Mus musculus: one gene and its partners. The protein of the gene in region 4 binds, or shares a complex with, the protein of the main gene of each other region. Links are inferred from orthologs where the notes say so. Each region holds a gene or a part of one and is shown on either strand. Other genes may lie near its edges. The genes, in order: Med31, Med24, Med7, Med16, Med18, Med1 and Med12.

Region 1 (4,300 bases), on a different chromosome or scaffold from region 4:
TTCTTTTGATGATCTCAGAATAAAATTCAAGCTCTTTACTGTAATCCCAGAAGATTTCCAAGACTCTATATGAAGTGGCATCTTCCTCCTTTTTGTTTTCTTCCTTATACCACGCTCTCATATACTAACTGATCTTTCTCTTACATAAACATCTTTGATTTTTAAAAAAAATGTAGACTTTCCCTTCTGTCTAGAATGCACTTCCCTCTAGATCCTGATATGGCTCACTGTCCACTCACACAAATCTCGGACCAAATGTAATCAGCAAGGCTTTCCCTGACCATATTCTCTAAAGAGTTCCCTACTCTCTACCACAAGACAGACAGCCTTTCCTTCGCGGGAATACAACAGCATGTTGTCTTACTTTCCCCTTTGTTGCATGTCTCTTCATTAGAGGAAGATCCTAGTCTTTTCCACTGCTCTAGCTGCCATGCTCTAACTACTACCTAGCATGCAGTAATACTCAGTTACCATCCTGTCAATCTCACGCCTCAGGCCAAGTGTCATGGCTTCTTCTTTACTTTCCCTTCCAAGATTATTAATGGTTTTATTGATTGTTTATTAATTGTCCTGTTTTTTCCTATACCCCCTGATTTAATTTTTTAAGTGTGGGTGGAATACTATGTATGACAACATGAGAAAATGTATAATGAAATATAAGTATTAATAAAGGCCAATTAATAATGTATGAAAGATGATACCTTGCCCTGTAGGTTTCAAGCAGGTATATGATCAGGCCAGCGGTCAAGAATCATGACAAGTTTGGCCCCTCTTTGCAAATTTCAAGTCGTCAACACATCCTAGAGTGACCTAAGACTATAAAACTTACCTGGTGTAGAGACTCAAAGAATCTCATTGTCCATCAGCCAGGTTTATACTGCACTACCAGTCTGAAACCTTCTGTGCTGGCTTCAAGTTAATAGCACACTGGGGTCAACAACAGGATGGTCTAAGGTGCTGCAATGTCAATACATGTTAACAGCCCCCAGAAACCACAGCCTGTTTCTTACACTGATTTATGGGTTCTTTCCATGAAACCAAAGATGCTCGGTTCTCCTGGAAGATGGCTGGCTGGCAACTCTTCAGTCCTGGCTAAGGACCTTTGGCACTTCATCGAGCCATTCTGGCACTCTGCCTGGCTGGGCTCTCAACACGGTGCACAGTAGTCTCCACCCTCAGGGATGACGACGCCCTGACGTGGCGGGAGGACGTTTCCGTGCACTGCGAGGAGGTTTCCACGTGCTGGGAGGACACCTCAAGGAACTGAGGGAGTCGCTTCGTGGAGGGGGTGAGGGAGGGCCCCTCTCGGTGGCGCTGGGAGGTCTCCACCTGCCGGGAAGACGTTCGAACCTGCCGGGAGGACGTCTCCACGCGGTGGGATGACGTTTCCTCGCGGTGGGACGACGTCTCCACGCGGACAGTCGATGTCTCCTTGTGGCGGGTGCTTTCCACTCGCGGGGCGGAGGACTTGCTCCTAAGGGGCGAGGCCATCCTGCCCATACACCTTGGTCAGGTGGGACAAAGAGGCCCAAGGATCATGCTCTGCGTCACGTCACACAGGGAAAGGTGACGTCAGGGTGGTGTATTACGTCGGGGTAGGTAGCAGGACTCTGAGACCTAAAAAATGAGAAGTCCTCCGGCACGCCCCGCTCGATATCTGCGCGCGCAGCCGGCCGGGTCTGCACAGATAGGTGGGGCTAATTTTCCCATAAGTGAGGTTGTCCCCGCCCTCGTGTCCCACTCTGCCCCGCGACCGGAAGTAGGAGCCGTGGCTTCCGGATTCTCACCAATCGAAGTCGCGGTTCGGTCGGGGCTGGTGGTGTTCGCCTCACTCTGATTGTTATGGCCGCGGCCGTCGCTATGGAGACAGGTACGTTGTGACTTGCACCCCGAGTCTTCACCCCAAGGGAATGGTCCTACGCCCCGAAATTCCCTCCCTTTTCCCTTTTCCTGCGCTGTCTTTCGGGTTCAACTTGGCATCCTTAGAGTTGGGACCGGCGGAGGAGAAGGCTGTGCTGCTTCTCAGACTATGGTCTGTGAAAACATCTTTGCTCCTGGGTTGCTCAAACCCCTACTCCAACCCTGGCTCTTGGGGCCGTGCAGGGCCGTGGGAGAGGACTGAGACCTTCCACTGTCTGTGCTGAAGGTACTCCCAAGAACTTGCCCGAAATATCGATAACCTGTGTATTCTAATGCGGACACCGCCTTCTCTCCATTGTTTAATCACTTTGCATCATGCTTCGGTTTTGTGTAGCACATTGATTTTGCTTAACGTAATCACAGTTGATAGTTGTGGTTATAACAACTTAGGGAACCGCACAGCTATTACAGACTGTCCAGTGATCTCCGCTAACAAAGTGGCCTGCAGGTGGTAAATTCCCATTCAACTTATTTTTTCCTCAATTAACTTTAAAGGATTTCTTTACTATTTTTTGTTTTACTATTTTTGTTTTGGAAACAGGGCCTCATTACTTAGTGAATATATATATATATATATATATATATATATATATATACACACACACACACACACATATATACACACACGCATATACATATATCTTTAATTTCTAAGAAAGTCTCTTCTGCACTTTGATATTTGTCTTTTCTCCTAGATGATGCTGGAAATCGGCTTCGGTTTCAGTTGGAGTTGGAATTTGTGCAATGTTTAGCCAACCCAAACTACCTTAATTGTAAGTTAAGTACATCACTAACTTAAGCAACTAGCTCTTAATTTCTGAGAAGAGATGCAGTTTGTAATACTATTTATTACTTCGATGTGTTTGAATGGGATTTTATTTGTTCTGGTCTGTAAGTTAACTGGGCAAACAAAGGCTTGTGTTTTTAATTCCTTGTGTTCTGTTGGTAGGGATGTTAAGAGCTACTTTGTTTTAGAGATTACTAATCAGTAGTCCAGCGGTTGGTTGACATACGGATTGTTTCTTTGTGTCTTTCAGTTCTTGCCCAAAGAGGTTACTTCAAAGACAAAGCTTTTGTTAATTATCTTAAGTATTTGCTTTACTGGAAAGAACCAGAATATGCCAAATATCTAAAGTAAGTTTAATTTTTATAATCCTAAATCTGTGTATACTTTATCATAAATACAAAGTGCTGATACTGAGCAGTTTTCTCTGTGTGGGAATGGAAAATGATATTTTGAATCTTTCTGCTTTTAGTTAATGTAAGATACTGTCATCTGTAACTTAGATTATTTTAGGAATTGCATTTATTTCTGCTACCATTCTTACCTCACTCCCTTCAAACAGAACCAAACAACTGTCTTCATGGGAGCCAGCTTACTCTCTAAGTAATATAAGCCAGAACACACCACTTCTGTTCATGCAGGCTAGCTAAGATCCAGTCAACTGGTTTCAGACTATAGTTCTAATGTAATTTGGTGTCTAACCTTGTCACTTAGCACTGCCCTTGTCTTTCTGGATTTTTAATGCCTACCAAACTATAATCTAGGAAGGTAGGAAGTATTGTTTTCTGGGAGTTTTAGAGGTACTGCCCTTCTTTATAGTGAGTGTTCTTTGTTTCGAGCACTGTGCTAAATGTATTGTACACATTAACTCACTGTAAAAGAACAAACACGGACACTATCAAACTCAATAGCTTTGACTTAAAAAAAAAAAAAGAAGAAGAAGAAGCTGGCACACACCTTTAATCCCAACATTTGGGAGGCAGAGGTGGGCACATGAATTCAAGGCCAGCTTAGTCTACAGAGCTACTTCCAGGGCAGCAAGCTCTACACAGGTAAGCCCTGTCTAGATGTGCCTCTCAAAGGAGGAGACAACAGAAAAACCAGAAGTTTAGCCTGGCATCCCTTTAATCCCAGCTCTCAAGAAACAGAGTCAGGTAGATCTCTATGAGTTTGAGGCCAGCCTGGTTATGTAGCAAATTTCAGGCCAATCAGGTCCACACAGAGAGACTCTTTTTTGTTTTGTTTTGTTTTGTTTTGTTTTTCGAGACAGGGTTTCTCTGTGTAGCCCTGACTGTCCTGGAACTCACTTTGTAGACCAGGCTGGCCTTGAACTCAGAAATATGCTTACCTCTGCCTCCCAAGTGCTGGGACTAAAGGTGTGCGCCACCACTGCCCGGCAGAGACTCTAATTTTAAAAATGAGAGTAAAACATTTCAAAAATTTCTTTTTATCCTCGTTACCTTCCTGACTTGATTTGCTGCCTGTAGATTTGCTCTTCATGATGCAATTATAGATTCCTTTAGGAATCCAAATGATAGACTTGAAGTTATATTAGAAGATATAAAATGTTACATGCTAGCAAATTTTCAGACCGGA
Region 2 (4,172 bases), on a different chromosome or scaffold from region 4:
TGCCCTCCAGTCCCCAGCCTGCAGAGAGGACTAAAACGGAGTGGGACTCTGCCCTTCCCAAACCCTGAATGTTCAGCCACACCTTGGAAGGCTCCTTCGAAGGGGGTGCAGCCAAGCTGAAGCCACCAGGGCGGGGAATCTCACTCTTCGTGTAGCTGTCTGGTGGGTGTTCCCAACCCATCCCACCCCTGCTCTCTGCACCCCCTCCCCACTTCCTCCCCCTGAGCCTCCCTCGGGCACCTGTTACTTCTGGAGCCGAGTAATCCAGGAGGTTCCCCACCCTGTGGCTGAGAACTGGACTGTGACAAGGTCTGTGTGTGTGAGAGAGAGAGAGTGAATGAGAGCGAACACGTTTGCTGGGTGTGACCATGCTACCACTCAATAAAGTTGCCCTGTGTGTGTGTGGGGGGGGGGGGGAGTAGCCCAAGAGAGACCAAGGGATTTGAATGTAACAGCATAAAGTCATCTGTGATGCAGCTCATGTTACCTGTTACAGTTTAGTAGAGTAACAAAGAATAAACCCAGGGGTGGTGGCGCACACCTTTAATCCCAGCTCTTAGAAGCAGAGGCAGATGGATCTGTCAGTTTGAGGCCAACCTGATCTACATAGTGAGTTTCAGGACATCCAGAGCTACACAGAGACAGCTTGGAGACAGGGTTTCTCTATAGCATTGCAACATCATAAACAAACAAACAAACAAACAAACAAACAAAAACAGTACCTTGTCCATGCTAGGCAAGCACACTACTAACAGAGCTCCATCCCTATCTCTGGGTAAGTGTACCTTAAATTTCTGTCTCGATGCCTATGATATCACATATGTGATATAATAAACAGAAGTGCTGGGTAGTGTTCAGCTCTGTTGCACCAATGCCAAATATCCTTCAGGTTTTTTGTGGTGCCGGGGATCAAATCCAGGGCCTTGTCCCTGCTAAGCAAACACTTTACCAATGAACTGTATCTGCAGCCCTCACTTTCAGTAGTGGATAACTTATAATTTGTCCAGCCCAGCCTGTGTAGAATTATAATTTCCTCTCTCTGCTCTTCATTCTCATTCATCTGTGTGGCTAACTTCTACTCACCATAGAGACCTTGGTTTAAACATCACTTCCTTTAGAAAGCCTTCTGTGATTGCTCAGGCAGGACTAGGCATCACTTCCATATCCTCTCTTCATTTCTATACTCTGCCCTAATCATACCATAAACCCCATCGCTCAACGATTAGCGATAGTCTGCATTGCCTTCAACTTCCCTTGTGTACTGGGATCAAATCCCCAGGACTTACCATTGTGTGACAAACATTAACATTTGCAAACACCCAGAGAGGGATTATAATAGCTCAAAGGTAGAACACTTGCCTAGCATCTGCAGGTCCTAGGTTTGATTATCAACACCCACCCACCCCCAAATCAATTGTGGGAGGCGGTAGCAGAAAAATCAGGAATTCAAGTCCATTCTGGGCTACATAAAACACTGTCTCAAAAACAGAAACAAGGATCTGGCAAAGAGGCTCAGCAGGTGAAGGTGTTTGGCGTGCTAATATGAGTTCAAATCCCCAGAAAGGTGGGAAGAACTCTACAAACTCTACAAAAGTATCGTTTTTGTTTTTTTTTTGGTTTTTCCAGACAGGATTTCTCTGTATAGTCCTGGCTGTCCTGGAACTCACGTTGTAGACCAGGTTGGCCTCGAACTCAGAAATCCGCCTGCACCTGCCTCCCCAGTGCTGGGATTAAAGGCGTGTGCCACCACGCCTGGCTACAAAAGTATCTTACCTCCACAAGCATTCTGCGATGTGCATGCCCTCCCCGCCCATAAGTACATGTAGTTTTTTTTTTAAGTTTTACTTGTAAATGTATATGGAGAGAGTAAATAAATGTAATATTCATTCATTACAACAAATGGAGTGTTATTTTTGCAATAAATTAAGCCTAAATGGACAACTGTCAGTTCTCCAGGTGTTTCACCTCCAAAAGCCAAGAGTCGGGAATCTTTACCTGGGAACTAATGGCGTACTTCAGGTACGACAGGATCAGAGGATTGGGGGAAGGCCCAATCATAGCCTGCTCCAGGAGCGCTTCTGCAAGGAAAATTAAAGTAAGGCTGAGTGTTTACAGCTTTTCTGAGGACACCCCTCCCATCCTTCTTTGCCCATTTTACTTGAGACCTGCTAGGTTGAGAATGTCCCAGGTGGCTCCTTTGGGGAAGAATTTTTTCATGTTGATTGCCCATTGGTAGTCACTCCATCGCTCTTTCCAGGCTTGCAAAATGGCCTGCTTCAGGTTCACCACCTTCATGATGTCACTCCAAGGAGGCGAGATGAGTGACAAGGTGGGAGTTTAAAAACGGAGCCAGATGAGAACTGGAGTTCTGAGGGAAAGAACAAGGGAGACATAAATAGAACGGAAATTCGAGAAGGTTTAAGCAAAACAAACAAACAAACAGAAAAATAAACAGAGAGGAAAAAAACTAGGCAGAGTAGAAGGCGTCAAGTTAGCGGCTCTGTCACCTTCTCGGTTTCTGAACAACCGTTTCTCGAATTGGGACAGAAAGTGTCAACAAAGCCCTGAAGCGAGCAGGAAAGGGTTAAGCCCGCTCCGGTTGTCTAATTATGCCCTTCGCTCTAGCTGCGTTCCTCACCACTTCCACCCCAAACCCAGATCTACCCTCTCCCCATTGCCTCTACCTTCCTCGGCCCTGAAGTTGTAATTCCTTCTTTTCCTACATCTACCATCTCCCCAAATTTAAGCCTACCATACAAACCGGTTGTACATCGTAGGCAGCGCCATCTTGACACCTACTAAGGAAATCATTTACCATTGGCCGGCGGCAACACACACCAACCAATAGAAACGTAGCAAGAGGCGAGTCCTGCCACAATACCTTCTGGGAATTGTAGTTCTTTGTCTAAGACTTGTCTAAGCTGCCAAACAGGCAGAAGGATTAATCTAATTGGTTCTGGTGGTTTTTATCTGAGATAATCCGAAGAGCTGAGGTACGCTGGTACCCAGAGTCTCAGGGTCTATGGAGAAACCAACTCTCTGTCTCCCAGTGATGTTGCCATCTATCCCTACCTTCAATCATTCTGATACTGTGGCTATTTCCCAGAAACGAGGCATAACAGTGAATTCTAGCCTGGCTTCTGTTTTGGCTTCTAACCTGGCTTCTATTTGGGTTTTGGCCTTTGTTCTCGAAAGCCCCTGTAGGCACTAGAGCTCTCATTTTCATATTTCTATTCCAAAAGAGACACTGAAGTGTGGGTAGCAGCACACATACCATCATTTTAACCCCAAATCTGACAATTCTCCCAGAATTCACTGATCCTGAATACTGTTTGGATACAAAAGGAAATAAGGAGAAAACAGAAGCTGAGCATGGCACCACGCCCTTAGTGCCAGCACTCAGAAGGCAGAGGCAGCTGGGTCTCTGAGTTTAAGCCTGGTCTACAGAGTGAGTTCCAGGACAGCCAGGAGGACTACACAGAGAAACTCTGTCTAAAAAACACAAAACACAAAAACAAAAACAAAGAAACAAAACAAACAAACAAACAAAACAGAGGAAATATGGGTTAAGATTATTGGGTGTCTCAAAAACTGTTTAAGAAGGCCTCGGGGGCTGGTGAGATGGCTCAGTGGGTAAGAGCACCCGACTGCTCTTCCGAAGGTCCGAAGTTCAAATCCCAGCAACCACATGGTGGCTCACAACCATCCGTAATGAGATCTGACTCCCTCTTCTGGAGTGTCTGAAGACAGCTACAGTGTCCTTACATATAATAATAAATAAATCTAAAAAAAAAAAAAAAAAAGAAGGCCTCGGGATCAAATGTGGTATTGTGGCTAAGACCATTCTGCACATTTGGAGGCAGAGCTTTATCACCCCTCTTTTTCTTGGCTCCCAATCTCATATCCCAAGGAGATAGGTCAGCCTGTTTCTTCAAATTCTGTCTATATTCCCCAACCCATTCCTCTTCTGTCCCACATTCCTCTTTGTACAGCTATGAAAGCACTCTACACTGAACTACAGCCCCCTCCCTGAGCTACCTTTTGACTGAGAATCAGGATAAATATTGAGAAAACAGTCCACATGGGCTCTAAAACTGGCCTTGTAGACATGTAGGAGACTAATAGGATCCTGGGTACCTGGAGCACGCTATGAACAGGGAGAGTATAGCTGG
Region 3 (3,960 bases), on a different chromosome or scaffold from region 4:
GGGGGGGAGAACAAAAAACAAAAAAACTTCCTTGTTAGGCTAATGGGATAGAGCAAGGAAGGTACAGAAAGTTGCACACCAAAGACTCTGCCTTCCAAAAGGTTTGCCCTTTGTCTACTTTGTGATAGCACCACAATTATGATTCTAACATTCAAGTGTAAAGACAGGTTCTGTAACTCACAGTGGACAATGGCAAGGTCATTTTTACTGCAGAATCACCGTTTAAACTACTTAGTCACTGACTCCCAGGTACCATGACTTCTTCACAATACTGCTCTGGTCCTACGGCCTGCTGTGTCCTGACTCTTAACTGTATTCACCCACGACTGCAGGTTTTTATCAGATAGTTTGTTTAACTGAATCAGACTTAAAAATGCTGAATTGTTATGTTTATTGCAGTGAAGATAACAGAAGTGAGAGCCTTGTTGCCCTAATATCTCTAACTATACACCCAAGTCGAGATATGCAAACTTTGTCTATGAAGGAAATTCTGAGAACACAAAACAGTATCACTTAGAAACCCTACTATTTTTTTGATCTCTTCAAGTCTTTCTCACCTGTTAAAGAGCACTCTTGCTGCCTGCCAGACTTCACGTGATGGTGAAGTAAGATCTGCTCTGCTTGTTTAGAAAAGGATGCTAGCACTAAGGACTCACATATTCTAGGTAATCTGACAAATGTAAAGCATACAAAGTGGAAAAACAAGCAGCAGAGTCCACCACAGGTTTGGCAGAGGACTTTATTTACTGTTATTTTTAAACATTTTTTTAAAAAGACCTAAACTGGGCATGATGGTTCCCGCTGTAGTCATGATGGGTCATGCTGTAGTCCCTGTGACTGAGAAGCTCGATAGCTCTAAGTTCAAGGCCAGTTTGGACTACACAGTGAGGCTGGGCCAGCCGGTGCTAAAGATCCATCTTTAAAAACTAAGTAAATATTTTTAAAATATATAAAAGTGGGAGTAAGATATGGTAGTGGTCTGTGAGGTATTAGAGGAGTGTGGAAGCGGGTATGATCAAAACACATGTGTGTTTGTGTGTGTGTGTATAAAATTCTCAAAGAACAAACATATTCTGAGAACTAAGGAAAAAGGGTCTGTATTTAGGGTGCTTTTATATGGTACATGATATACTATTTTTTCATGTCTGACTCCTTTTGGTAGGCATATGTTGGAACCTACTCTGGAAAAGAACATTTATATGCAAATGTCATATGCCTTATTTATTATTCTTTCCCATAATCAAACTACATATGGTATCTATTAATCTCATGTCGTTCACTTTCCTTTTTACTGTACAGTGGTCTCCAAACCCAAACACTTAAAACTCTCTTTACATCTTGACAAAAATCACCATTGTTGCTGGGCAGTGGTGGCGCACGCCTTTAATCCCAGCACTTGGGAGGCAGAGGCAGGTGAATTTCTGAGTTCGAGGCCAGCCTGGTCTACAGAGTGAGTTCCAGGACAGCCAAGGCTACGCAGAGAAATTCTGTCTCAAAAAAACAAACAAACAAACAACTATAACAAAACACCGTTGTTAAATTTCATATTTCAAATATTTTCCAAGGTTTCTGAAGGAAGCCACATCTTACAGTATAGTAGAGTTAGTATAGTACAGTTTTCTTAACACATTAGCAATTTTTACATCTTTTCTACATAAATTTAAAACCTAAATCCCAACATATATGGTCAAAATAACCTTTGCTTTTTCCAATTTAAGTACATTATACAATGAGAAGATTCTTGAGTGCTTTCTCACACTGATGTACACTGCCAATACCTTAAATCTGAGGGAAGCAACTCCAAATTCTTCAGATTGTCTAACTGTTAGAGCTAATTCAGGGTGTATATACCTAGAACACGAAAGTCTACTTGTAGCCACTTCAAGTCAACACCTGGCCTAAATTTCATCCCCCGAAGGCTTTTGAAGTTGGGGATCTGCGCTTCCCTTAGCCACACCCACACTAAACCCGCAGTTTCCCGAAGGTTTTTAGTAAGTGACAGATCCGCATCCTCACTCCAATCATCAGGACGGTACGACTACTCCCAATTTGACTATAGAGACAAGAAGCCAATTCCCAACGTGCAGAAGGGGGTGAATTGTACAACGGGAATCCGCATTAGTTTTTTCGGGCGCAAGTGCAAACCCCCGTAACTTGGGCATCCCGCGTTAGAGCGGGCCACCTTACAGAAACCGCCCATTACCGGTTCAAACTGAACTTTTCAAAGCCGCTGGAGGTCGTGACTCGCTAACACTAACAAGATCCAGTGTCTCGTGGGTGCTTTTTTTTTTGGGAGGGGGGGGGTCCGCAAGCTCAGACACTTGGCTCACTTTGTCCCCGTGACTGGGTCCCCGCGGAAAGTCTGGTACAGGATGAATCCGGCTCCGACCCAGGCTCTCGCTCCCCTCCCCCAGCCCCCGCGCTCCCAGGCGGCTACTGTCACTTTACCAATGGCGACAGGGCAGGCTAAGACCACGACATTATAAAAGCCCGTGGCGTGGGGACGAGAACTCGGACCTCCCAACCTCCCGTCTGGCTTGTCGTCCGGAGAGAGCGGTACTCGGTGTACCTTCGGCCGGCCGCCTGCCTCAGGCCCCGGGGAGGCTTCGCGGAGGAACCGGGAGGAAGGCTAGCCCGGGCGTCCCAGGCTGTCCCGCGCCGGACTTCGGCGCTCCACGCCGGGAGAGACGCAACCGCGGGGGCGGAGAGACAGACTTAGGCTGCGGTCGCCAACCGCCGCCGCCCGCTCACCTCAGCTCTTTCTTGCTTTTCCGGTAGTGACTTTTCCTCAGCGCAGCGGAAGCACAAGTTCCGGTTGCCTTCTCAGGAAGAAGCCTCTGACGCGGGCCTCTCATTGGCTACCAAGGCTGTCCTATAGCAGGTCCTACTCCCGCCCTAAAGATGTTGCACATGCGCACTTTCGCATCTCCTGCTTCTCTCGGGAAAGATCCGCTGTCTGGTTTCTTGGTCAGGTCAGGAGAATACTTCTTCGTACTTTTTGTTAGTAGAAGAAAGTACTCTCTAGTAATTCCATTCCTTGCAGCCCCCACTTTTATACGAGACTTTTAAAATTAAATACTTGCCTTATGTAAAAGTCAGAAAATACAGATAAGCAATATATTTAAAAATTATACTAATGTAATCATCAAAAATGTTTTTTAAAAGCAAGATTGTACTCTATGATATATTCATATATATGGAGATATTTGTGAACATGATTAAGAATAACATCCTAAACCTTCATTTTCCCCCTTCCATTCACTTTTATTTTCATTTAGGAATTCAAAGATGTCTATAACAATCCTTCCACAAATTGACAAGTGAAAAAAACTTAATATAATTTTTTAAAATGGAGGGAGTGGGTAATTTCACTGTGTAGCCCAGGCTGGCTTCAGATGTCTCTTCCCAGCCTCTGGAAAGCCAGAGGTATAGAAATGAGCCATCAGGACTAGCAAGAAATATTTCCATTTTGGCCTTTCCCTGAGGGAGAGGAGGAGGGGGAGGGAGGAGAGAGAGAAGAGTTGTTAACAGATGATATGGGAGTCGTAAGATGCAGTGTTGCAAACTAAAAGTAAGATAAACAGCTCTGCTTCACAAACAAGAATGTCTCAGTTTCTTCCTTTAAATATGTGGAGCATTGCAGGCATAAAAACAAAAGAAGAGTCTACTCACTACCAACTTCCATAGTTATATGAGCCCCATCATTTTGTCTCTAGTCTGGTATGAACCTCTAAAAGGTAAGGGCTCTTCGTTTTTTCCTATACCCACAGATTTATTATCTTACTGAAAGTGTACTAGGGGTTATTACACTGATAGAATGAATGTGTGTATGCACATGGATATATATGTATATATGACTTATCCGAGTGACTTACAAGATGCAGTTCAAGTAGTCCAGCAATGGCTGTCTCAGCCCTGAAAGGCTGAGAATCCTGTAGTTGCTCAGTCTAAGAGGCTGGA
Region 4 (3,500 bases):
CCGCTCCACCAGGCTCTGCACCATGCCGGGCTGCACGTGTAGCAGGATGTCCCACCAGTCATAGCCGGTCACCATGCAGTATTCCAGCAGGAAAAGCAGGTGCTGCAGGGCCAGCTTGGGCTCCAGTGGGTGGCCCAGGGATGGAGAGATTCGCAGCATGCTGAGCTGCGGGGAGGCTATGCTGAGGGCACTGCTCACCCACACCTCCTCTCCTCCAACTCCCTTCCTCCTCCCCACCGCCCCTCCCCGCCCGCATGCTCACCTTCCCATGGTTATCGATGCCCACGAGGGCCAGCGAAGTCCAGGACAGCTGCATGGCTTTAAAGTGTACGGCAGGGCATGTGGTGCGTGGGCGCTTTAGGGCCGGCTCATCCAGCGAGCGCGGGGCTGAGCTGTAGAACACCGCCATGGTCTGCAGGGACAGTCGGTGCACCATGTGCACGCTGCCATCCTGGAAGGCCAGCGCTAAGCCTGCGGGTAAGGGCGTGGTCAGGATGGGGTGGGCAGCGGCCACCCTCCCTGTCTCCCTTAGTGACCTCAAGAACCACAGAGCCCCGGGTTCCCTCGCAGAATATTCCTCAGGCTTGACCACCAACCCCACCTTTAATCCATTCTCCCCATCATATCGGAGAGAGCCAGGAAAATAAGGACCTAGGCACACAGAAGCAACCCTACCTCATAGCTGAGCAGCTGGCTGGAGAAGGCACTTGACTGACAAGCAGAGACTTGAGGGATCTGAACCCAGGACCATATATTATACAATACCATACCATACAATACCATACAATACATACAATATACTTTAGTGATTATGTATTTGTCTCAGCAAGAGGATCTCACCCCATGTTCCTAAACCACTGTTAATTAGCCATAGCTCTTTACATTATCAAGAAGCATGGTATTCTATTAATTGGCTAAAGCTGTGTACATCTTAAGGAATATAACTTGCTAATCAGCTACAACTCTACATATCAAGGAATGTAGCTTTTTATCAACTGGCCACAGCTCTTTACATATTAAGGAACACAGCTATTCAGCAGCTTTCTGGACCTTTATCACAACATGAGACCAGGAACCCTTAACACTCAGAATCCATCCCCCCCCCCGCCCCCCCCACAGGTCCAGGTGCTGTGCTGGCTGCTCCTGTGCCTAACTTACCAAGGCCTGGATAGAACTGGGTGTCACTGGCCACCTTGAGGTCAGTGTTGGTGAGTGAGATGGGCAGTTTCGGCAGTGCCACCGCGGATACACGGTCCAGGTCATTGGTGGCCGACAGGATTCGCCACTTGAGGATCATGGGCTGTTTGTCACCAACTGAACAAACAGTTGGGGACAGGGAAAGAGAGGGGTGTGGGAAGGTGTAACAGAGAGACGAGCTCTGCCTCAGGGACCAGGGCTACCCCTGCCCCGATTCAGGAAGAGGACTGTGGCCGGCCGCGCATCCTCCCACAGCCACTTGGTCTGAGGATGTAAGAAGACCGGGAACTGGCAGGACCCGGGCCTGGCATTTTTCTCTCCCTATTTGAAACAGGATCTCAGAGACCTTATGCTGGTCTTGGACCCTCTATGTAGCCCAGGCTAGCCTTGAACTATTACCTTCCTGCCCAGCATGAATGAGGTCCTGGGCTCTATCCCCAGAAGGGAATGAGATGGGTAATGTGGGCCAGTGCCTGTCACACCAGGCTCTCTGGGTTGCATGGGTTATCTATGTCAGTTCCCATCCTTGAAACCGACTCTGACCCCACAGGGAGCCCCAGCAACTGAAATTCAAGAGGAAACAGGCTAGAGTGTTTGGAGCAGTCAGGCCTTCCTTGCACTGAGGTTGCTCTCTCACAAGGGATGCAGAAAGCAGGTGCATGCCTGTCACCCCAGCTCATCAGAGGCAGAGGCAGGAGGATGGTTCAGAGTCTGATGCCAGAGAGGGTGCACTAGAGTCTAAGACTTCAAAATTCAAATGAATGAACGAATGAAGGGAACACCAGACGTCAGTGGCCAATGGCAGCCAGAAGCTAGTGAGTGCCCAGGGCACCAGCCACATCCCTGCCTTAACCATAGCCAGTTTCTGTCACCATGGTCACCACATCTCAGCTTGCTATCCAAGGCTGCCAAGCACCACCTACTGGGCATCTGTGGGAGGGAGGCGCAGGTGCAAGTGTGGAAGGGCTGCCCACCAGCGCCAGGAGCCCAGATTACCAGTGACTCACAGCCATCCACAGCAAACACAGCACAGCAGGGATGCTATTCACATTTAATTACTTGCTGGCCACAAAGGGCAGCTTACTGCAACTACAGCAGAGGCCTCTTGACACAACTTCATTAGGCAGACAATTAGGTCCTCTAGTGACCTGCACAGCCACAGGGTCAGCCCTCCCACTTGCCCCCCTACAGCTAACCTCACTTCCTTTTGTGTGTAGGGGAAGGGCACTGGGGGCAGCCTCAGCAGCTATCCCCTGGGGAGTCCACATTTGTAGCAAGTGTGCTGTGGAGAGGTATGCTGGGTGGCCTTGGTAAAGATGCTCAACTCCAGCCTCCTCTCTGACTGGGATTTCTAGATGATTCCATGGCTTTTAAAGTAAAATGCCTTCCTTAGTTGTGGGCACCCTTTCATAGCTCAGTCCTTGGTTGCTGGCCCCTGCACAGGGCGTTTCTACATCCTGTGTGCGAGTGTGGGTGTCCCAGGCTGTCCTCACCAGAGCTCTGGAGCCTTAGCACCCGACTCTAGACAAGCAGCCAAGCCTCCCAGGACTGTGAGGGACAATGAGATCAATCTGAGAAAATTAACGGCCACACCAGAGGCATGTAGCCGCCCTTTGCTGCTTTGTGGGATCTTCTTTTCCCATCATGAGATAGGAGAGAAGGAAGGACAGTGGGGAGAGAGATCCTTGAATCTAATTTCTTTGCTGTTTTGTTTCTTCTTTGAGCACAACTTCTAACAAACCACAACCAACCCCACCTCTCAGAGCCCCATCCTGTATGTACCCTCTGAAAAGTTCCCAAAATTCCAAATGTCACACAATCTCTGAAACTATCTGAGGCGGGCAAGACCATGCTCCTGCTAGAGCAGGAGGCAAATCACAGTCAGCTGCTGTGGACAGTCCGAAGCAGCCCTGCACCCCATATCTGAGGCTAAAATGAAAACATAATATTTCTGTGTTTTGTTTTTGTTGTTGTTGTTTTGGGGGTGTTTCGAGACAGGGTTTCTCTGTGTAGCCCTGGCTGTCCTGGAACTCACTCTGTAGACCAGGCTGGCCTTGAACTCAGAAATTTGCCTGCCTCTGCCTCCCAAGTGTTGGGATTAAAGGTGTGCGCCACCACTGCCCAGCTATTGTTGTTGTTTTAAAGAACCCAAAATTCCAGAATTCTCACCAGAGGCAGGTGGAGTTCCATGCATTCAAGGCCAGCCAGGGACACAGAATGAGACCCTGTCTGAAACCGAAAAGCCTAGCAGCCACCACGGAGGAGGAGGAAAGCCTAAACTACTCACCCACAGGCGAGATCTG
Region 5 (3,992 bases), on a different chromosome or scaffold from region 4:
CTATCTATCTATCTATCTATCTATCTATCTAATGTATATGTGTGCCTAGATATATGTGTACCATGTATGTCCTTTAGCATGGATGCCAGATGAGGGTGTCAGATCCCTTGGAACTAGAGTGGCAGGTGGTTGTGAGTCACATGATATGGGTGTTAGGGCTGAACCCAGGTCCTCTGAATAACAGCAAGTGCTCTAAACTGCTTAGCCATCTTCCCAGCCCCTAGTTATTTATTTATATTTTGTGTTATGAGTGTTTTTGCAAGTGTGTATGCATGTCTACCACACGGATGCAGTGACTGATGTAGTCAGACAAGGTAATAGAGCCCCTGGAAAGGAAATTATAAATGGTTGTTAGCCACTATGTGGGAGTTTGGGACCTCTGAGAGAGCAGCAGGGGCTATTAACTGCTCAGCCATCTCTCTAGCCCTTATTAATTAACTTATTTATTTATTTATTTATTTATTTATTTATTAAAAACCTCACAATATTGTTTAAGCGTTGAATGGCTCTGCTGGAGAGATCCTTACCACAGCTTCCCAAGGTTCTCAGATTTGAACTGTGCCTGGTCCCATGTATTTAAAGTTATGGTATGCACTGTAAATTGAACAAGTTTGCTGTTGTTTTGTATTAAACTTATGGCCTTGCACATGTCAGACAAGGCTCTAGCACTGAGCTGTTTCTCCAGACCCTTGAAAGCACACAAAATATTGTTCCTGCTGAGGTCTATATATAAATACACAACGCTGTGGTTAGCGTTTCCGATTTACAACATACCCCTTCCTTTTCTTTTTCTTTAATTTAATTTTTAACTTATTCATTTTACATCTCTTTCACTGCCAGCCCCGCCACCTCCGCCTCCCTTCTTTTTCAATGTGACTCTCCTTCCTCGCTCCCCCCAGTGGCTGAGTTCAAAATTTAAATATGGTATCCAATCGGCTTTATGAGATCTGATCAAAACATCCAGGTCGTCGAAGCTGAAAAAAAAAAAAAAAAAAAAAAAAACGTATCCTAGAGCTGTCCTATGACAGTCACCTTCCACGGTACCACTCTAGACTAGGACCCCAAAGCAACAGCAGCCCCGAACCTTGCGCGTGCGCTCTTGCACACCGGTGCCAGAAGGCGGGCGCGTTCCTTGCCCTCTCGGCACCCTTACTTTTCGGGGCGGTAGCGGAGAAGTTTCCTGTCCCTCAGCTTCCTACCGGAAGTGCTGAAGGGAGAGTTTGGCGGTTTCTCTGGCTCTGCGCTGGCGGCATTTGGGGGTGCGGATTGCGGGTGTGCACGCGTGGATTTAATTCCAGCTTTACAAGGATCTGTAGCGCGGACGGAGACGTGTTGCTAGTGTAAGTGCACACGTGTCCCGGCTGCCCGCGTGGGAGGACCGGGACAGTCACTCTAACTTCATATTTCCCGCCTGGCTCATTTGCAGAGGCGTTCTCATAAAGGCAGAACCAGTTCTAGTTACATCGCTCGTGTGCCCTGGGGCCTTTCCCTGAGTCTGCATGGCCTCCGCATAGAGTGAAGGGTGGACAAGGTCCTTAGGTCTCCCTCGGATCTTTTCTTTTGTTTTTTCTTTGAGACAGTCTCACTGTGATGCCCTAATTGGCCGGGATTTGCTATATAGACCAGTCTAGCCCGAAGCTGCAGCCGTCCTTCTAACTCTGTCCCCAAGTATTGAGATTACAGATGTTCCCCCCAACACAGCCGGTTTTTATTTCTTTATGTTTGGAAACGAGGCCTCTCAGTGTAGCCCAGTGTAGTTACCATTTTTGAATATGAATGTCGGTTTCTTTCGAGCCAGGTAGTGGGTGGGGGAGACGAGGGCTGTGGGGTTAAACACCCTTGGTCTTATTTTAAACGAGACAGTAGGTTTCGGAACAAGAGGTTACATAGCTGCCTCGAGATTACATAGAAAAACGTTTATAAGGTTCAGAACTTGATACTAGATGGCTATTCCGTATCTCCGGAGCTAGAACCCCTCTTATTCCCGAGTCACCCGTTCTTGGAACCGGCTGTATAAGCAGATGTGCAAAGTTAAGACTGAATGAGCTTTGGTTTCAAGGCCACTGCCGCAGCAAACAGGGTATGGACAAGTGTGACTTTTCCAGGTGGATCCTGTGCTTCTCCGGTTGGAAGATCTGTTTGCAGTTCTGTTGTCTTGAACCTAATTAGAGGCATCATGGAGGCGCCTCCAGTCACCATGATGCCCGTCACTGGGGGCACCATTAACATGATGGAGTACCTCCTGCAGGGTAAGTCAGCCAAGGAGCTTGTGTTACCAAGTTTTCAGTTTTTTCTGGCTAGAGCAAGTTGAGATGACTTATAGGCAACTGTAGGGTTCCTGTAACTGTGTTTAAAAGAGGGTGGGTGGGAAGATGGCTCAATGGCCAGAAACTCACTCTGTAGACCCTTCTGGCTGCAGGGGCCTGGGATTATAGATATTTACCACTATTGTCCTATTGTCTGTTCTCTCTCTCTCTCTCCCTCTCTCCCTCTCTCTCTCCCTCCCTCCCTTGCTCTTTCTTTCTTTCTTTCTTTCTTTCCTCTATTTTTGTTTGTCTCCGTATAGTTCTCGCTGTCTATAGACCAGGCTGGCCTCGAACTCAGAATTCAGAGGTCCATCTGCTCTGTCTCCCAAGTGCTTGGGATTAAAGGCACAAGCCACCACTGCATGACTTTCATTTTTTTTTTTTTTTCATCTTGAAAAATTAAAACTCAGGCCCGAGGAGAAGGCCCAGCCGTTAAAAGCACTGGCTGCTTCTTGGTTCAATTCCCAGCACCTACATGGCAGCTCACAACTGTGTGTAACTCCAGTTGCAGAGAATTTGATGCCCTAGTCTGGTCTCCATGGATTCAGGCATACAGGTAGTTCACAGATGAGCTTGCAGGCAAAACACTCCTTCTTACACATAAAATTTAAAAACAAAAAACAAGAACAAAACAAAACAAACCAAAAAAACCTCATACCGAGTCTCCCTCTCACCTCTCCACTGTGTTTCCTACCTTAGCTGCTTAGATGCCCCACATGAGTGAGGTCCCCAACTGGCTTATTTCTCCTAGCATTATATCCTTGATAAAGTCATGTCCTATGACAGAATTTATATTGTTTTTGTTGTTTGGAAGCAGTACTAAGGAGCCCAGGCTGATTAATTTTTTTCAAGTATGATTAAAATGATTCTTTTAGATTTTTAAATCTTATTTTATCTGTATGAGTGTCTTGCCTGCATGTGTGGGAGTCAGAGGTCAGACAAGTATGTCCAGTTCCCTGAAAAGGAGTCGTGGACGATTATGAGCCACCGTGTGGGTGCTGGTGGACACCGAACCCAGGTCCAGCACTCTTAGCTGCTGAGCCTCCTCTCAAACCCCCAGGCTGACCTCTAACTGGCTGGGTGTCCAGGAGCAGTGTTAACCTCTGATCTTCGGGCCTGAGCCTAACTGTGTGCATGCGCTGTGCATGCTGACTGGGCTGTGTCTGTTGTTGAGTTAGCATTGTTATTTCATAGTTCATTCATTTCGGTACGTGTCTTAGCTTTTTGTTGCTCCACGGCCTCCATTTTAAATGTGTATATGAGCACATCACAGTGCCCTCACCTCTCCTAGTACAGTTGGGCTGGGCATCTGGTCTCCTTCTCATTTTTGGTTACAAAGAAAACAGCTGATACAGGTCAGGGGACATGTGGTGGTTTTATCTTTATATTTATTTTTGGAGCTTCAGTTTTTTTAATTGTTTTTTTTTTTTTTTAAGATTTTTTTGTTTTGTTTTTGTTTTTGTTTTTCGGTTTTTCGAGACAGGGTTTCTCTGTGCAGTCCTGGCTGTCCTGAAACTCACTCTGTAAACCAGGCTGGCCTCTAACTCCAACTCGGAAATCCACCTGCCTCTGTCTCCCAAGTGCTGGGATTAAAGGCATGCACCACCCCTGCCCAGCTTTTTTTAAGATTTTAAAATACCATTTTTAGTTCTCTGTGCATGTGTTTCAGGGGATGGTACATGCATG
Region 6 (3,987 bases), on a different chromosome or scaffold from region 4:
ACAATGCCCAATGCATCCTTTAAAGAGCACTAGCTGCTCTTTCAGAAGTTCTGGGTTCAAGTCCCAGCACCCACATGGCAGCTCACAGTCACATGCAACTCCAGTCCCAGGAGATCTGCTCTCCTCTTCTGGGTTCTAAGGACACCAGGCATGTACTTGGTACACAGAAATACAGGGAGATAAAACCACCATACACATGAAATACATATTCTTTATTTCAAAAAAAAATATGTTGGGTATGCATTTTTTTGGGTTTTTTTGGGGGAAGGGTTGCTGTTATTGTTTTGATTTTTTGACTCATGGATGTGTGGCATGTCTGTGCAGTGCTCATGGAGGCCAGAAGACACCGAGACTCCTGAAACTAAAGTTACAAATGCTTGTGAGTTGCTACGTGGACATGTGTTTCCTGGGAACCAAACCTGAACCTATGCCAAAAGCACAGGGCTCTTAAACCCTCAGCTCGATCTCCAGCCACCTCCCTGCTTTTTTTCTTCCATTTTGAGACAGTCTCTCACAGCCCAGCTGACCATGACCTTGAGGGCTGACAAGATGGCTACAAGAGTAGAGGCACCCGCAATGCCAAACATGAGAGTCTGGGTTCACGCCCCAGAGCCCACAGTGGATATGGTAGATGCCCTACCTCCTAGTAAAGAAATGTAAGTGGTGACCTCCTCATACTCCTACCTCTACCTATGAAGTGCTAGGATTATAAACATGGGTCACCTCCCAGGCTTGCCCAGACTATGCTCTAAGGCATCCTCTTGTCTCCTTTCATCAGCCTCCTATGGGTGTGTGCCGCTATGAGGTACGGCTGAGACAGAGCTTCCCTGGCTGTCTTGTCTCTTTGTAGGTCTGGCTGGCTTCAAACTCAGGGATCCACCTGCCTCTTTCTACTAAGTGCTAGGACTAAGGCAGGAACCATCACCAGTTGGCTCTTTGCGTGTTAGTTTTTAAGACAGGGTTTCTCACTGGACCCTTGGGCTCACAACACCTTGAAGGATATACTTGGAGCACAATTTAAGGAAGACGTTATTATAATTAGGGGTTTTAGGGCTGGAGAGATGGCTCAGAGGTTAAGAGCACTAACTGCTCTTCTGAAGGTCCTGAGTTCAATTCCCAGCAACCACATGGTGGCTCACAACCATCCATAATGAGATCTGACACCCTCTTCTGGAGTGTCTGAAGACAACTACAGTGTACTTACATATATAATAAATAAAATCTTTAAAAAAAAAATAATTAGGGGTTTTTTTTGTTTTGTTTTGTTTTGGTTTTTGGAGACAGGGTTTCTCTGCGTAGCCCTGGCTGTCCTGGAACTCACGCTGTAGACCAGGCTGGCCTCGAACTCAGAAACCGCCTGCCTCTGCCTCCCAGGTGCTGGGATTAAAGCTGTGGGCCACCACACCTGGCTCCCTTTTTCCTTTTCTTTTGGTGCTGGGAATTGAACCCATGGACAAGAAGACATTACTCTAACCACTGCTCTACATTCCCAGCCTCTAAATTATCTTTAAATTAACATACAAAGCAATGCATATCATTTTGGCATTCTTATACATATAGGCCATTATACTTGGTCCAAGTCCTCTCCCTCTGAGAGCCACACTGCCCCAACCTCCAAACAGCCAAACCTCTCACTTCATTTCATATTCCACTAACCTTTCTATCCTGCAGACCTCCTTTGTTCCCACATGGTCCCATGTTTTCACAACCAACACACACCAACACATACCTACGTCGAGATTCCTCATAAGAGAAAATGTGCTATTTATCTTAATATGGCTTATTTTGAGTATCGTCCACTTTGCTACAAATGTCGAGACTTCATTTTTGGATAAGCCAGTCCAGGTCGTGGGAGGGAGTATCTGAACCAAGAATCAAACTCTTAGCTGGCCGAGAGGTGTGTAAGCCCGCACTTGGGAGGCTGAGGCAGGGGGACCTTGTCTCAAGAAACAAAGAAGATTCTATCCCTTCCCTTTTCTTCCCTCAACTGGGAAACTGGTTTGGGGATTGTTCCTGCCAGTTTATAGTTCTGAACACCTCTCCCCCAAGCTTTAAAGCCACCGGTCGTGCACAACTGAAAGCAGTTCGTAAAGACACAGCACAGTATTTGAACACTATGACCTTCCAAGTAATAAACGGCCCGCTTTTACTATGATGAAGATCGAACCAAGCAAGTCACTCCGGCTAAAACACCCTCCATTACTTTGACATTACATTGTTCTAGTGTCATCTTCAGCGATCTCTCCTGGAACAAAGCATCAACAAGTTTCAGTTTCCCTCTCCTTGGGTCCCACCGGGCTAAGCTCAAAGTACCCTGAGGCTCAACTTCCTCGTCCCTCGTCCCGCAGAAAACCTTTCACGAGTGGAGGAGACGGGGGAGCAGCGCCCCGGAGGAGGCGCTCCAGCATCTGTAGGGCTCGGTCGGGATCTAAGATGCACATTCCACCAGGATCCGGTCCCACGCACGGTGGCCCTGGAGGGGCGTGGGTCCCCACCTCCTCTCTCGGATTGGCTCGCCGCAGCGGTGTACCGCCCCTCCTTCCCCGCCACCCCCCAGTCACTCACCCTCGGTTTCCCCCTGAGCCTTCATCCTGACAGCGGGGAGGTCTTGGGTCCGCCACGAGCCGGGGAGCCTTTCCCCGCCACTCAGAGGGGAACCAAGTTAGCCTGGGCTCCGGGGAAGCGGCGCACCAGCGGCCCCGACTCTTCCGGGGAAGGCTCAGTCTGAAGTCCCCGGCGGCAAGAAGAGAAGGGTGCTCGCGGCCGCCGCCATCTTCCCCAACGGAACTTCCCAAAGATCGCGAGATTAATCGTGTTCCTGTGAGACGGAGGAAGAAGGAACCGCACCAAAGTCTCGCGGAGGTTGGCTGATTTCGTCCTCCCCGCAGGATCTCTAGCAGGCCCGGCTCCGATTGGCTCAGAATTCACACCTTGGCGTCTAAGGGTGTGTGCCCAGAGTTGACATCTCTCTGAAAGTTTATGTTTGCATCCCGACAGTTACACAATTTGTAAATTAAAAGCGTTAGCTCTTCCGTCCCGCGGTGGTGGCGGCTCAAGCCTTTGATCCCAGCAGACAGGCGGAACTCTGAGTTCGAGGCCAGCCTGGTCTACAGTGTGAGTTCCAGGACAGCCATGGCTACACAGAGAAACCCTGTCTCAAACGAAACAAAATGTTTGCTCTTTGAGCACCTGGAAAAGTGGCACACTCCTATAATCCCAATGAGGAAGGGGATAGTGAAAACCGGTCCTTACAAAATAATCTCTACTGAAAGATTTCCAGTGAGTTTTAGTGTTTGGGTGTTTAGAGTTTGCCTGGTGGTGGCGCACACCTTTAATCCCAGCGCTCTGAAGGGAGAGGCAGGTAGATCTCTGAGTATGAGGGCAGCCTGGTCTACAAAGTTTCTGGACAGCCAAGGCTACAGAGAAACCTTGCCTGGACAAAAACAAAACAAAACAACAAAAAAGTAAGATTTGTAAGATGACAAGACTTGTAACTCACCAGCAACATACCTGATTAGCATGTCTGAAGTCCTGGGTTTAATTCCTAGAGAAAGTGGGAAGGTGAAATTTCCTGAAGAACCAGAAGCAGTTATGTTGTTTAAAAAAAAGAAAGAAGGGGCTGGAGAGATGGCTCAGTTAATTTAAGAGCACCGACTGCTCTTCAGGAGGTCCTGAGTTCAATTCCCAGCAACCACATGGTGGCTCACAACCATCTGTAATGAGATCTGACTCACTCTTCTGGAGTGTCTGAAGACAGGTACAGTATATATATATACACACACACACACACATACATATACACATATACACGCATACATACATATATATATAATAAATAAAAGAAAAAGAAAGGAACTAGGGAGGCAGAGGCAGGCAGATTTCTGAGTTGGAGGCCAGCCTGGTTTACAGAGTGAGTTCCAGGACAGCCAGGGCTACACAGAGAAACCCTGTCTCGAAAAACCAAAAAAAAAAAAAAAACCCAAAAAA
Region 7 (4,217 bases), on a different chromosome or scaffold from region 4:
GGGGACGATGCTGAGGGCACATAAGCAGGTCACTAAAGGGAGTCGAGGGTGTACTGCTAGTTGGGGGCTGAGGTGCTGGGGTAGTGGGCAGAGAACTTGTTGACTGAGCAGCTATGACATGAGATGAGTGGCTGCTCACACCATCCAGCTGGAGAGCCAATCTCCGGGTACAGAAGTAGGCAAGGCGGCGGGACAGATAGGCAGACTGAACAAACTCCCCTGAGTACTGTAAAGATATGACCAACAGAGCCCGCTAGGTTTCTCCAGAAGATACTGCTCTGATGTCTAATTCTTACTCAAATCCCTCTAAATAGTCCCTCCCTGGGCCTAGGTCTTACTCGCAGCAGTAGGGGAAGCAGCAATTTAAGCAATTCATCTTCTCCAGGGCGTATTTTCTCAAAACACTCAAGCACCCAAGTCAGGAACTCATGTCTGTCCAGCATTCCATCCTATGGATAGCAGGGAACTATTAGAGGTAAGGCAGATAAAGTAAATGGAAGAATGAAGAGAGCTATACCAGGGGCAAGGTAAAAGGCAAATTCCATTCTATTCCAACAGGACAGGATAAGGTGCAACTCAATGCCATGTACAACATGCCCTTGCTCCTACCTGAAACATGAACAAGGCGAGCTTCTCATTGTAATCCCACTGCCTGATGGCCATCTCTACATCATGGGGCAAAGGCCCTATAGTAGAACCACAGCCTCCACTTCCTGCAGGCCCTGGCCGATAGTACTCAGCCATCTTCTGTAGCTGCTCCCACAAGTACTTTGTGATGATTTGAGTCCATTCTAAAGAAAATACGGAAAGGGAACTATATGATACTATTCTTAAGCTTAGAATACTCTATCCCCTGCCTCCACCCACAATCACCAGAGTTCCAAGCTCTATTCATCCTCTTAGCCTGTAGACAAATGCCACCTCCTTAAAGCAATCATTACATCCACTGAAGTCTCAAAGAACCTTCTGTCTACTCTTTTGATGTTTACCACTTTCTATATTTAATTATGCTACATATGCCTTAGCATCTCCACTAAGATCTAAAGAGCAGAAATTATATGCTGGTCATCTTTACAGCCCAGTACCTGAACACAGCAGATACTCAAATTACTCCATGCTTACCAATTTCGTGCACATAAGATTCATGCAGAAGCAAGGAATAGACTAGGAAGATTTATTCTAAGGCTCCATCACTCCTTGAAGCCATCAGTGGTATACCAGGTGTACAGAGTTACTTACCAGTGAAGGGGTCAGCAGTATTTTTCTTCTTAACCTTAGTCTCAGACATTGCTGCATAGTAGGCACAAGTCATCTTAATGAGCCAGGCAGCCCGCATCACAGGCACCGTGTATTTGGCCAAATACCCAAATACTTCTTCCTTTTTACTGAAAATGGGGACCTGGATGGGCATCACAAACAGCAATGTCTCTAATTACTCCAGGGAGCTGACACCACATAGCTACATCTTAGAATATAGGTAGACACATTCCCCACCTTGACCTTAAGAACAGGAAAAGAGTACTTCACCTTTTTGGCTAGGTGTGTGAGTGGTTTGGTGCCAGCCAGGTCAGTGAACCAGGTGTTAATAGCACTCTGAGATCTTGCAGTCACCAGCCAGAAGTTGTCCTTCTGGTTCATTAGGGACTTCCTGCGACCAGTGTCAGAGAGAGTATTACACCTTAACTTCTCTGCGATGATGCTGCTGAAGTTGGAACTGATCTAAAGGGGGAAAAGTAGACCTCAGGGTAGGAAGACTGTGAAAATGCCAATGTGCTAGCACTGAGTTATAAACTCTGCCACCTAGGTTGTCCCTTTCAGTTTGCCCAACCCGGAGCTTTTGCTCCTCAGATTCTTCCAGCCTTTTCCTTCAGCCTGGCAGGGTTGTCTCACCTTGGCAGGATTGAAGTTGACGTTCTTGGCACTGCCATGTTCGTCCCCAGAGACAGCAGGCTGGTTATTGAAACCTTGTTTTACATTCAAAGCCGTCAGTTCATCCTGAGGCAGAAAAACAGCATTTTTAGCTCACCCTCATTCACCTTATAGAAGAGGTTGTAAGAGAGGGCAGAGGAAAAGGTAACAAGGGAGCCAGGGAGGAGGAGGAGGAGGAGGAGGAGGAGGATTCTGACTAGAAGAGGTTGTTATTTAAAGCCCAGCCCTTATGTTCATTTGGACCCCACCCTCACCCCCACAGTCAATGAGACTCCCACATCCCCCAGAGCGACCTCAACATCACTCTTCCCTTACCGGCACCTCACCAAGCTGGCCCTAACAACTTTCTGAGGTTTGTGTGTGAGCGCCCGAGTGAGTGTGGAGGGGGGCACCTCTGGCATGGCTCCTGAACCCACGAGCTCCTCAACCGGAACTGCTGGCAGACCCTACTCTCCAGCAGGGCACCAGTCCACTCTACTCTTCCCCCTGTTGGGACTTTTTCTCTCACCTAACCTCATCCCCCCTTGCCCTCAACTGTCAGTGTCTCTTCCCTCACGAAACACCTGCCCGGACCCCGCGGGAACCGGGAATTGTGAACGCACCTCCTTCTGTTTGGGATCTTGAGGGTACACATCGGGAGGCCCCAGCCGCAGCCGCTTCAGGGGTCGGTGTTCATAGCTCAAGATCCCGAAAGCCGCCATCTTGCCCAGCCCGTACCGCCTGAGGCGCCTGCAGGGCCAGGCGAGGTGGGGAGGGAAGGGGCGGAGGGCCGAGGACGGGAGGGAGCACGGGGACAGCGAGCCGGGCGGCGGTAGAGAGGACCGAGGCCGAGAGAAGGGGGGTGGCGGAGGCGGGGCACGTTAGAAACTCTCGATTACTGCCGGAAACTGCCGAGGGACGCTGGGTACCGTCGGACAATACTGACTGCAGAGTGGGTGGGGCCTCGCCGGCGCGGGGCGGAGCCCCACAGCCCGGGAGCTTTGGGCCCTAGGAGGGAAAGTCAATTTCACACACTAGAAATCCACCGGCGTGGCCGGGGCTGGAGGCGCAGACCTGGAATAGGGAAGGCAGCCGCGGCGCTGAGCTCTCTCGCTGGAACTGGCTTCCCGTGGCCTCGCTCAGTTCTTGGCCTAAAATAAGTGCTCGGGAATTTTTAGTTTAGTTAATAACTGCGTCTTTTACTGATCACTTCGTTTCTTGGTTCTCACATCTGGATAATGGGCATGCTAAACTTCCTTCAAAGGACAGTTGTAAAGATTAGAAACTACTATTGTTTTAAGAAAGCACCTCTGATCTGATACAAAAGATCCGGTCTAGCCAGGCGCAGGCCTTTAACCCCTGCAGAGGCAGAGACAGACGGATCTCTGTGAAGTGCTTGCCTTACACAAAAAGAAAGCAACTGTAAAACTGAAGTGCTTATAATCTCTCCAGGTGGTTACAGGCCCTCTGCACCACAACCCCCTAACCCTTTGTTGTTGTTGTTAACCCTTAACCTGGCGGTGCACACCTTTAGTCCCAGCAGAAGAAAGCAGATCTCTGTGAATTCAAGGCCAGCCTGGTTTACACAATGACTTCCAGAACAGCCAAGTCCATGTATGAACTGTGTAACCCTGTCTCAACAACAACAACAACAAAACCAAAGAAACAAACAAAAAGTAGCCAGATTGATGGCAAACACCTTTAGTCCTAGCAACTAGAGAGGCAGGAGCAGGAGTATCTGAGTTCAAGGCCAGCCTGGTCTACACACTGAGCTCCAGAACAGCCAGAATTACATAGCGCCCTTGTCTCAAAAGAAAAAAAACCACAGGGTTTGGGGATTTACCTCAATGGTAGAGCACTTGCCTAGCAAATACAAGACCCTGGGTACCCGTCCTCAGCTCTGGAAGGAAAAAAACAAACCAAAAAAAAAAAAAAATGCCAACGTGTCATCAGAGTCAGATGTGGTGGGGCAAGCAGGTCATCCAGAGCAACAGTGACTGACACATACCCTGTCTCAAAAAGAAATCCATTGACACTTACATTATGTGTGTCACACACCTGTAATTCCCACAGCTCGGGAGATTGGCAAAAGGATAACAAGTTACTTCCAGCCCAAATTACATAGACACACACACACACATACACACACCTCTTTTCTGAGACAAGGTCATCTCATCATGTAATCGCAGGTGGCCTAAAACTTTCCATATAGCCCACGCTGGCCTAGAACTCACAGAAAGCTCAGTGAGCCATCTGCCTCCTAAAGCTTCCAGGCCGGATCAAAAGGAAAAGGGAGGAGGAGCAGGAGG

The links.
Region 1: Med16 (region 4) and Med31 share a complex: the UniProt entries of both Homo sapiens proteins name them as parts of the mediator complex. The link is inferred for Mus musculus from reciprocal best matches to the Homo sapiens genes MED16 and MED31.
Region 2: the proteins of Med16 (region 4) and Med24 are in contact, whole or in part, in a cryo-EM structure (PDB 7EMF), measured with the Homo sapiens proteins. The link is inferred for Mus musculus from reciprocal best matches to the Homo sapiens genes MED16 and MED24. Residues at the interface, in NP_005472.2 of Homo sapiens: His29, Cys30, Pro31, Ser32, Arg52, Asp54, Asp55, Gln56, Glu82, Asp102, Val126, Glu127, Gly128, Asp129, Pro130, Val184, Ser185, Leu187, Thr203, Glu204, Ser205, Cys207, Arg208, Leu209, Arg210, Gly211, Arg212, Asp232, Gly233, Ser234; in NP_055630.2 of Homo sapiens: Ile539, Leu540, Asn541, His544, Pro545, Glu593, Arg629, Met630, Leu631, Gly632, Leu633, Asp634, Glu635, Asp676, Gln679, Gln680, Thr681, Ala682, Pro702, Pro703, Lys704, Arg705, Pro706, Ile707, Lys708, Glu709, His737, Met738, Gly739, Gly740.
Region 3: Med16 (region 4) and Med7 share a complex: the UniProt entries of both Homo sapiens proteins name them as parts of the mediator complex. The link is inferred for Mus musculus from reciprocal best matches to the Homo sapiens genes MED16 and MED7.
Region 5: Med16 (region 4) and Med18 share a complex: the UniProt entries of both Homo sapiens proteins name them as parts of the mediator complex. The link is inferred for Mus musculus from reciprocal best matches to the Homo sapiens genes MED16 and MED18.
Region 6: Med16 (region 4) and Med1 share a complex: the UniProt entries of both Homo sapiens proteins name them as parts of the mediator complex. The link is inferred for Mus musculus from reciprocal best matches to the Homo sapiens genes MED16 and MED1.
Region 7: Med16 (region 4) and Med12 share a complex: the UniProt entries of both Homo sapiens proteins name them as parts of the mediator complex. The link is inferred for Mus musculus from reciprocal best matches to the Homo sapiens genes MED16 and MED12.

What each region holds. Positions count from the first base shown.
Region 1 is NC_000077.6:72,212,531-72,216,830, reverse strand, and holds the start of Med31 (mediator of RNA polymerase II transcription subunit 31), read left to right. Parts: upstream 1-1,500; 5' UTR 1,501-1,842; coding exon 1,843-1,870; intron 1,871-2,615; coding exon 2,616-2,693; intron 2,694-2,957; coding exon 2,958-3,054; intron 3,055-4,300. Other genes in the region: 4930563E22Rik (uncharacterized protein C17orf100 homolog), read right to left, coding at 1,111-1,500. UniProt on the Homo sapiens protein: Component of the Mediator complex, a coactivator involved in the regulated transcription of nearly all RNA polymerase II-dependent genes.
Region 2 is NC_000077.6:98,726,620-98,730,791, forward strand, and holds the start of Med24 (mediator of RNA polymerase II transcription subunit 24), read right to left. Parts: upstream 2,801-4,172; 5' UTR 2,753-2,800; exon of another isoform or gene 2,685-2,752; intron 2,369-2,684; 5' UTR 2,296-2,368; coding exon 2,166-2,295; intron 2,079-2,165; coding exon 1,996-2,078; intron 398-1,995; exon of another isoform or gene 1-397. UniProt on the Homo sapiens protein: Component of the Mediator complex, a coactivator involved in the regulated transcription of nearly all RNA polymerase II-dependent genes.
Region 3 is NC_000077.6:46,435,801-46,439,760, reverse strand, and holds the start of Med7 (mediator of RNA polymerase II transcription subunit 7), read right to left. Parts: upstream 2,801-3,960; 5' UTR 2,570-2,800; exon of another isoform or gene 2,449-2,569; intron 1-2,448. UniProt on the Homo sapiens protein: Component of the Mediator complex, a coactivator involved in the regulated transcription of nearly all RNA polymerase II-dependent genes.
Region 4 is NC_000076.6:79,898,939-79,902,438, forward strand, and holds part of Med16 (mediator of RNA polymerase II transcription subunit 16), read right to left. Parts: coding exon 3,485-3,500; intron 1,315-3,484; coding exon 1,159-1,314; intron 472-1,158; coding exon 263-471; intron 166-262; coding exon 1-165. UniProt on the Homo sapiens protein: Component of the Mediator complex, a coactivator involved in the regulated transcription of nearly all RNA polymerase II-dependent genes.
Region 5 is NC_000070.6:132,461,122-132,465,113, reverse strand, and holds the start of Med18 (mediator of RNA polymerase II transcription subunit 18), read left to right. Parts: upstream 1-1,192; 5' UTR 1,193-1,340; intron 1,341-2,105; 5' UTR 2,106-2,176; coding exon 2,177-2,249; intron 2,250-3,992. UniProt on the Homo sapiens protein: Component of the Mediator complex, a coactivator involved in the regulated transcription of nearly all RNA polymerase II-dependent genes.
Region 6 is NC_000077.6:98,190,494-98,194,480, forward strand, and holds the start of Med1 (mediator of RNA polymerase II transcription subunit 1), read right to left. Parts: upstream 2,801-3,987; 5' UTR 2,591-2,800; coding exon 2,566-2,590; intron 2,414-2,565; exon of another isoform or gene 2,314-2,413; intron 1-2,313. UniProt on the Homo sapiens protein: Component of the Mediator complex, a coactivator involved in the regulated transcription of nearly all RNA polymerase II-dependent genes.
Region 7 is NC_000086.7:101,272,674-101,276,890, reverse strand, and holds the start of Med12 (mediator of RNA polymerase II transcription subunit 12), read right to left. Parts: upstream 2,801-4,217; 5' UTR 2,631-2,800; coding exon 2,532-2,630; intron 1,996-2,531; coding exon 1,891-1,995; intron 1,720-1,890; coding exon 1,528-1,719; intron 1,400-1,527; coding exon 1,240-1,399; intron 792-1,239; coding exon 610-791; intron 450-609; coding exon 339-449; intron 227-338; coding exon 1-226. UniProt on the Homo sapiens protein: Component of the Mediator complex, a coactivator involved in the regulated transcription of nearly all RNA polymerase II-dependent genes.